Linked DNA regions of Xenopus tropicalis. The protein of the gene in region 1 interacts with the protein of each later gene in a biochemical or structural test. Links are inferred from orthologs where the notes say so. Each region holds a gene or a part of one and is shown in the gene's direction. Other genes may lie near its edges.

What was found.
Region 2: the proteins of lrp1 (region 1) and plat form a complex in vitro, tested with the Homo sapiens proteins (2 studies listed by BioGRID). The link is inferred for Xenopus tropicalis from reciprocal best matches to the Homo sapiens genes LRP1 and PLAT.

The regions. Positions count from the first base shown.
Region 1 is NC_030678.2:139,398,405-139,406,552, forward strand, and holds the start of lrp1 (prolow-density lipoprotein receptor-related protein 1), read left to right. Parts: upstream 1-2,982; 5' UTR 2,983-3,385; coding exon 3,386-3,476; intron 3,477-8,148. UniProt on the Homo sapiens protein: Endocytic receptor involved in endocytosis and in phagocytosis of apoptotic cells. Required for early embryonic development. Involved in cellular lipid homeostasis.
Region 2 is NC_030679.2:130,555,909-130,563,955, reverse strand, and holds the start of plat (tissue-type plasminogen activator precursor), read left to right. Parts: upstream 1-3,548; 5' UTR 3,549-3,592; intron 3,593-8,047. UniProt on the Homo sapiens protein: Converts the abundant, but inactive, zymogen plasminogen to plasmin by hydrolyzing a single Arg-Val bond in plasminogen.

The DNA.
Region 1 (8,148 bases):
ACTGATCGAGCTGACCAGCTATATCATAGTGGTTTGCAGAATTTTTAAAAAGAACTATAAATATAAGGGAATTCTAAAAAATGTTGTTTGCTTTCAAGTACCTTCCAAAACTATATATAAATTCTTAATATAACCACACAATGAGACATATAAACTTTACTGACAAAAGTCAGATTACCAGTACCTCTAAAGCCATCAGATATTTCCTAATATAGTGCATATATATATTCTTAGCTCTAGCCATGCCTTACCCTTCTCACAGTGAACGCCTTATATTGTACAGAGATACAGCTGCTTACAAACATACTGTATTTGTAAAAGTGTTGTGGTAATATGGGGCAGTGGAATTATTTGCAAATACAGAAGGCATGTGTCTGGAGCTAATAACCAAAATTATATGAATACGAATGAAAAGGGGAGGTAGTTACTCAAAAGTAAATCACTCAAGATGACACAAAAGTTAGACTTCCTTATTAACCACAGTACAATATTTTGTCCCCAGAAGCACTTGATTATATTGAAGGAATTACACAGATTCCATTGTACTCTGAAACTAAAAGTGCACTTCAAAACACAAGTGGATTTAAACCCAAGTGTACTTTTGAACCTCATTATACCTATGCATAAAAAAATGTATTCTCTAACTGACTAATCAACACTAATCCAGCGTTGTTGCTTCCCCTATCAACTAGATCTCCCATTGTACTGTAATGGAAAGTCCAGACATGGCCTCTTATATAAGCATGAACAGTCTGGAAGCAAAACAACTTTCCCAGCTATCTCAACAATCTGCAAAACAAGATTTATGGTAACATTAACTTCTGGACATAAACATCTTTAACATGGGCACAGAACTTAATGCAAAATGAAAACACATAGGGACATGCTCATACAAGCTCACTCTCAACATCCCCACCTTTTTATGAGACCCAACAGGAGCTCCATGGTGATTGCAGTTACAAGGGCTAGCAACCAAAGTGGTCCCCTGTTGAAGAGACTTTTACATTTACACAGCAGAACCAACTGCAAAGCAGCAACAAGGACATAGACACATATAGTGGTCTAATTTTGTCCAGGATATAACACACAGTGGGATTCCCAAAAGATGGCAAGTAGGAGAACATTTTAATCTTTCATGATTCATTTTATGTGTTTGGCTTGTGTATTGTATTGTTGGGTGACTCTTAAGGTTGACAACACTGTAAGTGCCAGACATGCGTCTTTATGGTGCTGATCTTAGGTGTCCGTATTCTCTTCTACTCAGTGGCAGAACTAGAAACTTAAATTGTCCCAAAACTTTGGGAGATTTCTCTTTATTGCACTGTGTTATCAGTTAGGCCCTTACACCTTCTTCCTCTACACCCCTGCATATTCTGCAGAGGAATAGATTGAGACCTAAGAACTTAGGACTGGGGTTTTAAAAGAGTTTCTGTTGTATTTCCAATATAAAAATAGCATTACTATTCCAAAAATATACACACAGGTTATTGGCTCCTGATAAAATTAACCATAGTTTGTGTGTGTGTATGCCATGGGCACCTTAGACTGGGGCAGGGACTGATGTGAGAGATGCATAATTTTTATTTATAGTTAGGTTAATGAACATTTTTCTAGAAAAGTGAAAAAATATATATGTTTTATATAAGCTTTTTTTAAAGTGTGTTCCCGCCAAAAAAGTATAGGCATGTTCTATATGCCCAAAAAGTACAACCGTTATAATTAAAAGTGGCAAGTATTCATTGCAAAACAGTGTTGCCCAGGAGTATTGATTACTGATACTGATACTGGTTATTTGCTCCATGGATTTATAAAGCATACTGCCCAACGCTGTTTCAGGGTTAAGTGCCACCCTGAGGGGGCCAGGTCAATGCTGCTTTTTCCTGACAGAGCTGGTCGGGGGGGTTGCATTGCTAGTGCAAGAGTGCAATAGAAGAGCCAACTCAGAATCAGAATTTCATCTCCTTATGTCACTAGGAGTGGCTTTACTCAACCCTTGGTAACGCTCAGGGCACTGCCACCTGAGGTGAGTTTCCTAGCCAGCTTTATGGCAGTAGTGCCCCTAATACCGTCAGGCACTGTCTTATAGAAAAAGCAAGTCCATTGTATACAAATATATATTTATATAGGACACTATTGGAAATGGCACTAATATTTTTGGATAACAAATTTCCAGATAACAACTCCTGTATCTGCAGTTTCTATAGCTACTATTGGGGGCTCAGAATATATAGGGGCCCCAGTGAGGCGCTGAATGATAAGTAGTAAGATAAGTAGTATTTTTTAAAAAAAATGCCTTATTCCCACATTTTAGGGGGACCCTGAAATGATTTTGCTGTGGGGCCAGTAACTTCTAGTTCCGCCACTGAACAGAAGACAAAACATCAGCTACTGGAGCATTAGAATGAATGCTGGAGAATGGCAGGGAGGAGGGGACAGGGGATTCCTGGGCAGAAGGCACTATTACCAGGGAAAAAGGAGCCAGGAGAGAGTTACACAATTACATAGGGCGATAGGGCTCCTATTGACCTATGCTATACTGATTTCTTTCTAGTTAATTGAATCTTTGCCACTTACAAATGAACCAAAGTGCCAATGAAGCTGGAACCCACTTGCAGGGCCAGAGTTAGAAAAGGGTCCCTAGGAATCTGAGAGGAGCTACCGACCGGCAGCCCTCCGGCTTTTGTTAAACTATAATTCTCTAATGACATTGAAAGCTGCAGGGTGAACATCGCTATTATACACCAGACAAACTGTCATTATCTTCTATGTGTTTTTATCAATACTGTGCAGGGACCCCAGGCAAATGGCCCTAAAACAGGCCCTGACTAAGCTTTACATTGAAGCCACAGGTTAGAGACCACCCCCGCCCCCCTTGTAAAGCCGCAGCCTGCTTATCCCAAGAGCTGGTGGGGGCGGGCTAACCGTACAAGACACGCCCCCTCCCTCCCCTCCCTCCCACACATAGTCTCTCCCCAGCCATTCCCCTTCTCATTAATAACACTGCTGGATTCCTCAATCCCTCATAATCAGGGGGGATATCCAGTCAGGTTGCAGCTATTGCCGGGCGAGAAGGGGAATCGCTAGGACTGCATATGCCCCCTCACTCCAACCCCCCCATTCCCCTTTATCAACCCCTTCCCAGCACTGGAATAGAGAGTGTGCAGCCCATTGGCAGCCCTGCTGCTGCTGCTGCTGGCCTCAGCCTCCCCACCTTCCCTCCTTTAATTGTTCACGTTTTTGGGTGATTTCTTTTTTCCCCTCTGTGGCCACTGGCGTCTGGATATCAAGGCATCAAGAGGAGGAGGGAGGCTGCCAGGCGAGGGCCAAGCACTGGATCAAGGCACCCCCTCCCCACCTTAACCCCTGCTAGTCCTTTCCCCCCACAATGCCGTCTCCTAGGACAGATGTTGCAGCTGGAATCGCATTGGGATTACTGTATTGTTGCTTGCACGTTGTTGCGACCTCTGTCAACGATGGTGAGTAGAAGTCCTGCTTTGTGCTGCGCCTGTAACCGAGCGGCTTCGGGACTGGGCAGAGGGGGAATGGGGTAAAGGTTTCTCTGTGCTGACATCCCTCACTGCAGGCCTGCAAATCGGATCGCACTCTCAGGAATGGGAACGCTAGGATGGCTGTCTGTAACACACACACACACCTATTCAGCCCTGACACTGAGCGATATTCCGTTTCCTACATTCTATGCCGCATTCATACCATAAGGTTCGACTACATTTCCCAGAATTCCCTGTAGTGTATGTGCCCAGGTCGGCCCTTACCGTTATGGCTTTGCAGGCCACTTCAGTTTGTGACGAGGTTTCTTCCTCAGATGAAATAGAGCAATGTTAGGAACTGTCTTGTTATATTGTAGCAATTGGATCTAATCTGTTCCAGAGGTGCCCCTTTCTGCCAGAGGGGGAGGGGTGATTTGTTTTGTTTCTGGCCAAGTGAGGGTCTTTTCTTCAGTCATTGCAAAAATTTGGTTTGAGGAATAGGCCCCTCTGATTGCAAAGCTTCCATACACAGCTCTGGTTTCTTTCTATTGCTCTGTGTGGTTTCATAATGGATGGAAATTCTAAATGATCCACACATGGTGGGGGGGAATCAGCCCTTCTCTTGCCTGCCTGTGTGTGTATCTCATTAAATCAATGGCTATCCCTTTTTATTGATTAGTTATAACGCATCTGACGTATGGGCTTGCCATCTAACAATCGTGCTATCTATTTATAAACACTATTTACGCAGCCAATTTCTCATTATCTATACAGAATTACTTTTTTTTTTTTTGTGGTCGTGTGGAAATTGTACTCAACCCTTTTGCCTCTTGCATTGTATTGAATCCAATTGAATTCACCCAGGTTGCACAATGAATTGCTTTCTGGGATTTCTTCCCCTTGGAAATGCTGTCATGTGTGCCTGTGTGGGTTAAACCAGTGCTCCCAATCCCATCCTAGAAATTGTAGTGCTAGCCTGTATGTGAGTTAGTGATGCAGAAAAGCAATCTAGGTGGATATGAAATATGCATGTCCATAGGCCCAGTGTGAGTGGCATGTGAGCTACCTTTATATTCTGCAGCCTTGTACAAAGGGGCCGTGTCAGAAGCAGTGGGCATGAATGTTATGGTATATTTCTTTGTCAACAGTATGGCGTTTGATTCTGTGTATTTTTTTTTTTTTTTTTCTCCTTAATGGCATCACTTGGAAACGGTGAGGGTTGTTGACGAGGGAAACAAGGCTGACATTGTGAAGGCATCTCCATTTGCTATTTGCAAACCTCATCTGCAACCACATCAGCGGCTTCCTCTCTACACAGTGGGGCTGCAGTGCGCCTCCAGTGCGTGACATGGCATTTAACACAGGCAGGGACAGAAGGGGAGATTCATTGGATAGGGTCTTGTTTGCGAGCCAGATGTTAGAGGAGTCCGCTGCATGATCTCATTCTTGCTATGATGGATTTGGCTAACTTCTTTTTTTTTTTCCCCTCCACCTCATCCATTCTGAGTACTAAAGATTCCGGCAAATATTCCAACGCAGTAACCAAAATCGGCTTTAAATTTGGACTTTTGCTGGTGTATGAAATGTAAACACATCACACACACACATATTGTGTTTGCTTGTAAGCTGCTTGTTGCTGAAGAAGATAGCAGTACAGGTATGGGATTTGTTAACCGGAAACCCTTTATGCAGAAAGTTTTGAATAATGAGAAGGATATTTCCCCTAGACTCCATTGTAAGCAAATAATTCTGATTAAAAAAATCCCTTTTCTCTGTAATAATAAAACAGAACTTTGTACTTGATGGTAACTAAGCTTAAAAAACCCTTCCTAATAATCCTAATAAGTAATGGTTAAGTGATGTTTTAGTAGACTTAAGATGGCCATACACGTTACAAACCTTGTTTTGTATGGTAATATCGGTACCGGTACATGTATGGGCTCCCTTAAGGTATGGAGCTCTAAAAAAAAATCCCTTACCAGAAAACCACAGTTCCCAAGCATTCTGGATAACAGATCCCATGCCTGTATTATGAAAAATAAGCTTTGGCCACTTTGTCCTCTTTGTTTCTCTCCCCCCCCCCCCCCCCCCTTGATAGCGATTTCAAAACTGGGTCAAGATCAGAACAAATAACAGCATCATAGAACAGCAACTGAATGCACTTGTGTAATAGAAGCTCCAATGAGCCCTGATTTATTTTTGCACCTATAACAACTAGTGGACTGCTAGGCTTGTTGGTTTTATCTAATTTTCTCATATATGTCCATATTGCCGCGATCTACTGTACCGTTGGCTTGGGGCTTTATCAGTTAGCACGATAGCTACTATCAATTGCCGACCTTAATTATACAATTACTATAAAAGACTGACATTCTAAAATACAAAGAGGAAGGGTACAATTGATGGATTATATGATAGTGTTCTATTTTGTTTTTTTCCATGCGTCATTGAGCGCAGCTCTTGTGTCTCATATTGATACAGGTGGTGGCCTGGTCATTTTTACAGAGTATAAACCAGTGCTGTGCAATTATATTTACTATACCCAGTGTTCTGGGAACAAAGATTTCATACAAAGCAACAACAGGAACCCTTTGGCAGGTTGGGACCCATGAGTATTGGACTGAGGGTCATATTTAACCTGTGAATTTCATTCAGATAGTCCTGTTACAGGCAGCAGATGTATTTGTAGGGCTGTTGCAAGTGGTATTGTATCTGACCCTAGCAATTGGCTAGAACTGTGATCTGCAATTAGTGGCTTGTGAGCAATATGTTGCTCACCAACCCACTGGGTGTTGCTCTCCGTGTCTTCAAAGTAGGTGCTTCTTTTTGTATTCCTGACTTGAAGGCAAGCTTTAGTTGCATCAAAACTGTGTACTGCCAAACAGAACTTTCTGTAGGCTGCCAATCTACATAGGAGCTACCCATATTTTTCAAGGAACCTTTTGCATGCTTGTGTTGCTCCCTGACTCTTTTTACATTTGAATGTGGCTCACAAGTAAAATAGGTTGGGGACCCCTGAGCTAGAACTATAATTGGTAATGGAGGAGGCATTCCCTGTAAGAGGTGGAATACAGACATAGTATGTGGGTATGGGGGTATTTGCCTAGGTTATAAAATATATGGGACATATCTATATTAGGCCTCTTGACTTCTCATGGATCAAGTTATGTGCAGCATATAGCAATGAAGGCCTCCGTGAAAGAGGACTTAAGGTCCCCATACACGGGCTGATTCTAGCTGCCGATATCTATCCCTTAGACTGATTGGGCAGCTAATCGTCCCGTGTATGGGCACTACCGACGGGCCTGCCGAACCGATATCTGGCCTGATATCGGCCAGATCTCGATCGGGCAGGTTAAAAAATCTAGTCGGATCGGGAACCGCATCGGCCCGATCTGCTCGCTTGGCGTATACACACACATATATATTATATAATATATATATAATATATAATTATTTTTTTTTTTTTAACCACCAATGGCACCCAGCCTTGCTTGGAAATTCTTCCTTCAACTTGTAAGCAAGGGCCCAGCTGAGAACAAGAGCCCCCTGTAATCTGAAAACCTCTTTAAAACTAGACAAATAATGACATGTATCTATTGAGGACTTATTATCCATTCTCATATATGTCTGAATTTGGGGAGGTGCCAGAGCTTTAACGGATTTGCCAACAGTCCAGGATGATGGAATGTGAAGAGATCAAAAACCAAACTTTGACTGTATATGGATACTGTAATTGTGCAACCATATGCACTGGTAAAATGCTATGGGCAAACATGATTTTGGCCTTTAGTTGCTCTTAGATACCAGTGGTTCCTAAACATACTGTGTTTGACTGTACAGTTTCCAGAGTACATTTTAGGGATTGAAGGGTAACTTTCTAATATCAAGTTGGTGAATAGGTTTTTGGAGAGTTTATTACATGGATCTGTTAAATAAATTGGACTGTTTGTTTCAATAAATTCTTCATACCCTCTATTAATTAAATTGCCTTTTTATATACTTGTTCTCTATGGCTTTATATAAAAGGGGGGAGGTGCAAGTCTCCCAAGTGTGTGTAAAGCTGGCCATACACGGACTCGCCAAGCGAGCGGATCTTCCCCCGATATCCCCACCTACGGGTGGGCGATATCGGGGAGAGTTTAGGTAAAAAAAAAATTATTTGATCGTTTGGCCCTGGGGCGGCAATGGGGCAGTCTGTTTGGGGACCGCATCAAGGAGCCGATGCGGTCTCCGATCCGACTGGATTTTCTAACCTGGCCGATCGATATCTGGCCAATTTCAGGCCAGATATCGGTCGGCCAGGCCCCTCGTTTCTGCCCCTACATGGGCTGATAAGCTGCCGAGTCGGTCCAAGGTACCGACCTTAGGATATCTTCACTAAGACATTACCCAGTGTAGCTCCACTTATAACTTTTTGGAATGAACCATGGACTAACTACTATTTCTATGTGGTTCTTCAGACTATTGTCTTTATGTTTAAATGTAAAACTCCAAAATCTGGTTCAGCACAGCCAAAACTTTTTGCGCAATATTGTGTAGAATGATATAATCGGTCTGTGGGTGATTTGGTTTCAGATTAAGCTGTTAGGCACAGAATTACAAACAAACAACCACTGTGTATAGAAAGCAGTTGAACCTCTTTGATCCTATATGTATA
Region 2 (8,047 bases), on another chromosome or scaffold:
GCAGTCGGTTCGGGGACCGCATCAACGAGCCGATGCCGTCCCCGATCCGACGGGATTTTCTAACCTGGCCGACCGATATCTGGCCAATTTCAGGCCAGATACCGGTCGGCCAGTCCGATAGTTTCTGCCCCTACACGGGCCGATAAGCTGCCTAGTCGGTCCAAGGGACCGATATCGGCAGCTTCTATCGGCCCGTGTATGGGGACCTTTAGAATTCGTTTTGTAACCTTTTTCAGCCTGATGAGCATTTCGGGGGTTCTCAGAAATCTTTGTTTAAGCCATGACTCACTTCCATAAACATGTGTTGTGTAGATCGGACTTGGATAGTGAAAAGCCAGATTTCAGTACTTTAAATAAGGCAGGGTCTCCCACACTCCCACCTGATTATTATCCCATTCAGTGAAACAATAGCTCTCATGTCCCCTCCAAATGAACTCAGGGTCATAGAGGGTGATATACTTTTGCCAACAAATATGCAACTTTTTCTTCAGTAAAGCATTATGTGCTTGATTCATGTATGTATGTATGTATAACTTTATTTTTAAAGCGCCACAAGGGTACGCAGCGCTGTACAATCTTACAATATACACAATTACACACAGGGAGGACAAGTCTTATAATAAATACAATAAATATGCATAAATACACAGGGAGTAAGTGCCATGTGGTATGAGAGACAGTAGGAAGAAGTTCCCTGCCCCGAAGAGCTTACAATCTAAGTGTATTTGTTTAACTGGGTTCTTATTCCTTGGGTTTATAAGAATCGGGTCATATTTTAGGTTATAATTATGGAGAAATGTCACAAATCACAAGTCACAAATGTAAAAAAAAGACACTGTACGTTAAATACCTTTAAAAGAATAGATGGATGATGTTTTAGCATGGGAGAACAGGCATGAACTCTTATAATACAACATTTATATAGAGATGGATCTGACTTCTGTATGTTAGCGGGGAAAGAAGAACTAATAGGAATAAAGGATTAATGGACATCTTTTCTCAGCCATGGCTAATATATAAAACAATGGCAGTCTGAGGCAGGCTCATGGGTTATGTAGTTAAGTAGTTAGGTAATTAACTGGTGCTGGATGCCCCCTCGTTGCTTACATGGGTACCATAAACAGTAAAAGATGCACAGTTTACTTTAAAGCGATACTGAAACCAGAAATGAAACCTTTTTTTTTTTACATCTATCATAACATTGCCGTTGCATTCTATATATAATTTTGCCTTAAAGGTATTTGCCCAATGTTTTCTATGAGGGGGCGGCTGTATTTGTGCTGCAGTAGTCCCTTAGAATTAGAAGCTGTTACTGACAGGTTGAGATGGGGCAGTCAGGTTGGTTAGTTTTATATGCTGAAACCCAGCTGCAAAACAGTTCTTTTCTTTCTCACCATTTGAAATCCTGGCAGGGGAGGAGGGACTAAAACATTGATGTTACAAATTCTCCTTCTGAACAACTTCTTCACAGCTTACAGACAGCATGCAGGAACTACATAACCAACAATGCAATGCACTGTGATGTGTGATCATGTGTGCAGGGAATTGTGGGATTGGGAGGATGCAGGCTGAAGGCATTGTAAGTGCAGAAATCTAGTCCAGTCTGCGCATGTATCCAGCTTCTAAATAACAGTATCCAATGCAGGATTTCTACACTTGATATGGCCATGAACTGGACTTCCTTTCACACTTTATATATACAATTCCTATTTCCGCTCCTCTATTCATATCCACCTAGCTGAACAGAATTTTAGACAAACAGAATATCCTGAAGCTAAAACGGAATTTTCCTGGAACATTACCAATCCATAGGGCAGGAACACAGGGGAAATACCACCCATGTGGAGCTTAAGGATCTCAGCAAAATCAGGGGTCCTTCTAATAAATGCATACTGTATTTCTGGTCTGTGTGTTTAACAGCAGAAAACAATTATTGAAACAATGCTTTGTGTCCATAATAAGCGACAACTATGGTGTACACCTGTCAATGTGTATGGGGGCTCGATTTTGGCCCCAAAACGATATTTTAGGGTCAGTCTACCTCTGTGCACAGTGACCTGTGGATACCATAGATGTCCCTTATAATGGACACTGGGTAGTAGAGAAATCACCTAGTGTGACATTAGACTCATACTTCCCAGAAGTAAACATAAAAAGATGTATTTTGTCTTACTCATTGTGTGTACTCATTGTGCATACAACTGTACTACATTATTATGTAGGCATGGCGGGTTGCAATCTTCGTTAAGCAATTGGGTTTTCCATATCTTTTCCTAAGAATTTACACAGCCAGAAAATGCATTTGTATTAACGGGCAGATTAACTCCACGTGTGGGGGTGGTTTCTTTTCATTTTTATTACCCACTTAGGGCTCTGGCACACGGGGAGATTAGTCGCCCGCGACAAATCTCCCTGTTCGCGGGCAACTAATCTCCCCAAAATGCCGTCCCACCGGCGAAAATATAAATCGCCCGCAAACAGGGAGATTTGTTGTGGGCGACTAATTTCCCCATGTGCCAGAGCTCTTAGGGCAAAGAAAATGCATCATGTGACATTAGTTAGTTTCTGCCCCAGTAGAGCTTACAATCTAATGTCCCCATCACTCTCACTATAGTCAGCTAGCCTGCCTGTATGTTGTTGGAGGAAACTGGAGTAGAGTAGAAACCCCACATAGACATAGGGAGCATACAAACTCCTTACCCCTGTCTGGAATTGAACCTAGGACTCCAGTGCTGCAATGCATCAGCGCTTAGTGAGTCTGCAGCTCATGTTCTGAGGCCAAATGCTAAATTCTAATCAGAAGGGCCCTGCCAGCCTTCAAAGAGTTTAATGGGCAAGTAAAGGGTCCAAGTTAATACATGCTTGTTTTTGTAGCATTAAGGCATAAGGCAACCCTTTGCCATAGGATCTATAGATTGACCTTTACATTTTTTAAACAGCAGTTTTTTTCCCTACAGTTTTACATAGTCAAATCCTTATGGAAGCACGGTGCCAAGGAATGCTTGACAAACAGTAATAATCCTTTAGAATTACTCCCAGCTGGACTCCCTAAGCAGCAGCCTATGCTTTTCTGCAAGTCACTGGGTCCTGTTTGTTTTTCCTTCTTTCACTTTTTTTCCTCCCCTCCATCCTGATCCTGTTTTATTGCACACATTATCTCTATATCACTTCTTCACACTTTTTTACAACCTCCACCCCCATTTTTATGGCTCAATTTTCACTTGAATGCCCAGACTCTGCCACCCTCTCTTCCTCCCCTACGCCCTGGAGCCCATTATTTTGAGACAGACACTGTTATTTTCCTGTATTTTTTGCCATGGGGTTTCCGGTTATTCATTGAAAGAGAAAGTGAGCAGCGGGAGGTATAGAAATAATAATTCAGAGTGTGGAAAAAAAAAAAAGGTCACTTGCTCTTGAACTCATTAAATCTGCCTTATCACGGAATTGTGACCTCATCTCCCACTGACACAAATACCAAGTAACCCACCCCTTGCATTAAATTCCCTTATAAAGGAGCTGAGTGATAGCTGCACTCACTTCATTTCAGGAAGGGACACTACGTGGAACTTGAGCCTCTTTGTGGTGACACAAGGTGAGAGATTTTCTTTTTATGAAACAATATGGGTGCCGTCTGAACACAATGTATTCTGAGATCCAGTGCTGTGATGGGGAATTAATGTAAAATATACTACTTTTTCCTGCTCTGTATCTCAGTTTATAGGGGGATCCCCAGTGTATATCCCATTTATACAATAGGGCTTTTCTCTGCTCTGTATCTCAGTTTATAGGGGAATCCCCAGTGTATATCCCATTTATACAATAGGGCTTTTCTCTGCTCTGTATCTCAGTTTATAGGGGGATCCCCAGTGTATATCCCATTTATACAATAGGGCTTTTCTCTGCTCTGTATCTCAGTTTATAGGGGGATCCCCAGTGTATATCCCATTTATACAATAGGGCTTTTCTCTGCTCTGTATCTCAGTTTATAGGGGGATCCCCAGTGTATATCCCATTTATACAATAGGGCTTTTCTCTGCTCTGTATCTCAGTTTATAGGGGGATCCCCAGTGTATATCCCATTTATACAATAGGGCTTTTCTCTGCTCTGTATCTCAGTTTATATGGGGATCCCCAGTGTATATCCCATTTATACAATAGGGCTTTTCTCTGCTCTGTATCTCAGCTTATGGGGGGATCCCCAGTGTATATCCCATTTATACAATAGGGCTTTTCTCTGCTCTGTATCTCAGCTTATGGGGGGATCCCCAGTGTATATCCCATTTATACAATAGGACTTTTCTCTGCTCTGTATCTCAGCTTATGGGGGGATCCCCAGTGTATATCCCATTTATACAATAGGACTTTTCTCTGCTCTGTATCTCAGCTTATGGGGGGATCCCCAGTGTATATCCCATTTATAAAATATGGGTTTTCTCTGGTCTATAAGTCAGTTTACGACTTCCAGAAACATGATCGTAATAGGCAAAGTGCCATAGTTCCAGTATCCAGGCAAATGAGAACTCACCCACAAATCTTTCCCTGTCCTTCAGACTGCGTCCCCTATCAACTATATGTAATCCTCCTGTAAGGCCCCACAGTTTATATATGTGAAAATAAACTCCTAATCCCGCATTCTCACCATAATATGCCCTACAACGTCTATTTTAAATACAATATCAGACATCTTCTTTGTGCCATTTCTGTGTACTCTGGCAGACTCCGTGGGCATTCCTCTTGCTTGCTTGTTGTTTGATCTAAGGCGATCTGTAGTGGTTACCAGACCTGGAGGAAACCAGCCATTACTGTAGCCCCTTGGAAGTTTAAAGTACAGGCACCACACCCCAATAGCCTTTGGCTTCCAGAGACTGGTGGAAGTTACAGTTACTGTTGTAACTTGCTGTGTGTTGCCTGCCAGCCATGACTAAAGCATACACTGGCCGATTCTTGTAGGTATTTAATTTAATTTTATTTAATAGAAATATACAAGTTAAAGTGGCTTTGCAGGCTGAAAATAAGCATTTGTGAAGAAAATAAAGTAAAAGAGATATTCCCTAAGAGAAGATCTAGAAGCAAGGGATCTGCCTCAGTATCTTGTGTTCTCTGTGGAGAAGTCACTTAGCTCTATATGTAATAAAAGGCACAAAGTTTGCCTAGGAGCAGTAACCAATCTCAACCAATAGGATGTTTGCTTTTTAACAGGTGACCAGTAAATGCTACCTGCTGATTGGCTGCTATGGGTGAATGCTCCTGGGCAAAGTTAGTGCTTTTTATTACATAACCCCCTTTTGCTTTTAGTAGAAGGGACTGAGTGCTGGAGAGATGCTGATTTTTTAAAATTATTTTTAACATGTCAGAACTGTTACAACACGCTATAGTATTAGCTAATATTACGGGGCATATGAGTTGCCTTCCTGTCCTGCATTAGCTTAGTAACTGCTCCCTGGACTGGGAAAATATTTGTGTTTTGTGCAAACGTTTCATTTTAACGTACAAAAATATATTTCCCTTTTTATGTTGGTTGTTGACTGAGTGGGATAGTGTAAATATTTAGTGTAGTTATCTACGTGGGACGCGTTGGTGCATATTTGTGCTCTTGGGAGCTGTTTGCAGATAACCCTTGTGCGAGGATAAGATAACCCCTAATGCTGCAGAGAAAGATCACACACATGGCAGGCAATGCACAAGATAAAGCCTTCTTCATGGTAAATATTATTATAGGATGAATGCTGCCAGAAACAACTCTGATATAAGACACGGGAATGGGTACAGATATGTTTTACAATTTAGTTTGGCATTTGTAGTTGCTTTTGTTGGATTATGAGCATTCGAATGCTCTGATTGGCTCCAGGTTACTTAAAGGTCCCCATACACGGGCCGATTGTAGCTGCTGATATCGGTCCCTCAGACTGATTCGGCAGCTTATCGGTCTGTGTAGGGGCAGCAACGACTGGCCTGCCCGACCGATATCTGGCCTGAAATTGGGCAGATATTGATCGGGCAGGTAAAAAGATTTAGTCGGATCGGGGACCGCATCAGCTCGTTGATGGGGTCCCCGAACCGACTGCCCCATTGCCGCCTTTATAATTTGATTGTTTGGCCCCAGGGCCAAACGATCGAATTAGCCTACATGTTCCCTAATATCGCCCACCCGTAGGTGTGTATGGGCACCTTAAGTCTTTAGATTCTGATTGGCATTAGTTTAAAAGGCAAGAAACCAATCCTGGACCATATCAGGGTACCCAAACTTCACAAGAGCTTTGGCTCCCAAGCTGTCTGTGGTGTGCGTGATCCTGTTTCTAGACTTAGAGATCAGATCCAGATGTAAGATTATTAGTCTGACTTTAATTTAGACTTAGATGGAAATGATCACACATTTTGTTCTGTACTGACTGAATGGTAAAATAGAAATAACACGGTGTTGCTCTTTCCATTGAAGGGTGCAGATCTGGCTGGCACCCCATCTTTGGCTCCTGCTGAAAGGCTTTCCATGGAAGGCAATAGGAAGTGACCTTTGGCATTTTCCAACAATTGGAATGCTGCTACTCAGTAGAAATAATCAAAATGTTGTGTTCTGTTGTGTGCGGATTGAATTTGACCAAAGATATAAGTTTGACAGTGACGACAGGAGGGAGCAGATCCTTACTGTTGAACTAGTTGTCCTGACCTCCAGGTGTCATATAGGACTATAGTGGGAATAAGAAAGGGCTGATGAGAATTGTCCTTGGCTGGGTCCCATTAAGGCCTGGGGCTAGAACCCTTGCCATAAATCAAGACAGGACAGTTGTTGCTTGCCCGAAAGGAAGTAAGCTTTGATACTCACAGAAACAGTGACTGTAAGCTATTGAGCAATGAGGTGCACAGTGTGTTAGAATGTCACTACATGACACAGTATTACACACTGGTTTCAGGTATTGGGCATGGCTTATTCTAATGGCACTATCCCTTTAGGATGAAGATACACAGAGCTACTAGTAGCAGCTACTTGTTGTGGCTACTAAAATAGACAATGCTGATAATTGTCTCTACGTGTGTTTTAGCAGAGGCAATTCTCTGTATTGTCTATGGCAGGGGATTTTCAGGTGTTTAGCTGCTGTGACAAGTAGTTGCTACTAAGTAGCTCCGTGTGTCTTCACCCTTAAAAGTAAGCAGTAAAGTGAAAAAATGAAACATTTAGAAATGTCTTTGCTGATCCCATTGCTTTATAATCCTGGCCCAGGGCCCTCACAAGTTACACCAAAACATGAAGATACTTAATACACAGTTTCAGGCCTGTATTAATGTGCAATTGATACTGATTTCTCCATATATGCAGTCTGGATATGGCTCTCCCTAACATATTCTGTCGTAGATTTATGGTGCTGGATTTCTTTGCGATAATAGACTAAATGGGGGGGGGGGGGGGGGGGGGTAGTAATGAAATTCCTGAAAGATTGTCTAACTATAGGCTATGTCCACGTGATGGTCTCCTGGAGTGTTATGGTTACAGCGCCTGCAGGCAATGATTTGCTTGTGGTTTAGGTGCTACAATGCACACTCACAATGGGGGACATTCCTGAATCACAGATGCCTGGTCCCAATGCAGCAAACTAGGCAAGGGGTGGGTGCATTAAACGGTAACTTTTCCTTATTCTCTTCTATTTAGCTTATATCCTTCCAACAATACATATTGTGATGATGTTGCGTTATAGGAGAACCACAAGTTGGTATATGGTATATGCCATGGTGGGTTCATTTATTATGAAACTGAGGGGCAGTGGATACAGACTGAAGAAGAACATTCTAGGAGATACTTTGATCTTGGAAATATTAGATAACTTATTGGTAGGAATGGTTATTAAATAAAGGGCAAGATGGCACAGATTCTTCTTCATTGCACAAAAAAAGCAGACAAAAAGTGTTGGCAATGTACAGCAGTGCTGTGTTTATGAGGGGAAATGTGGTTGCCCCTAGATTGTATGTCATTCAGATAATAGGTGGAAGGTGCTAAGGAGTACTGTACTTACCACTTGTCTACTGTAGGTGTTAAGTATAGGGCTACTTTGGGCTC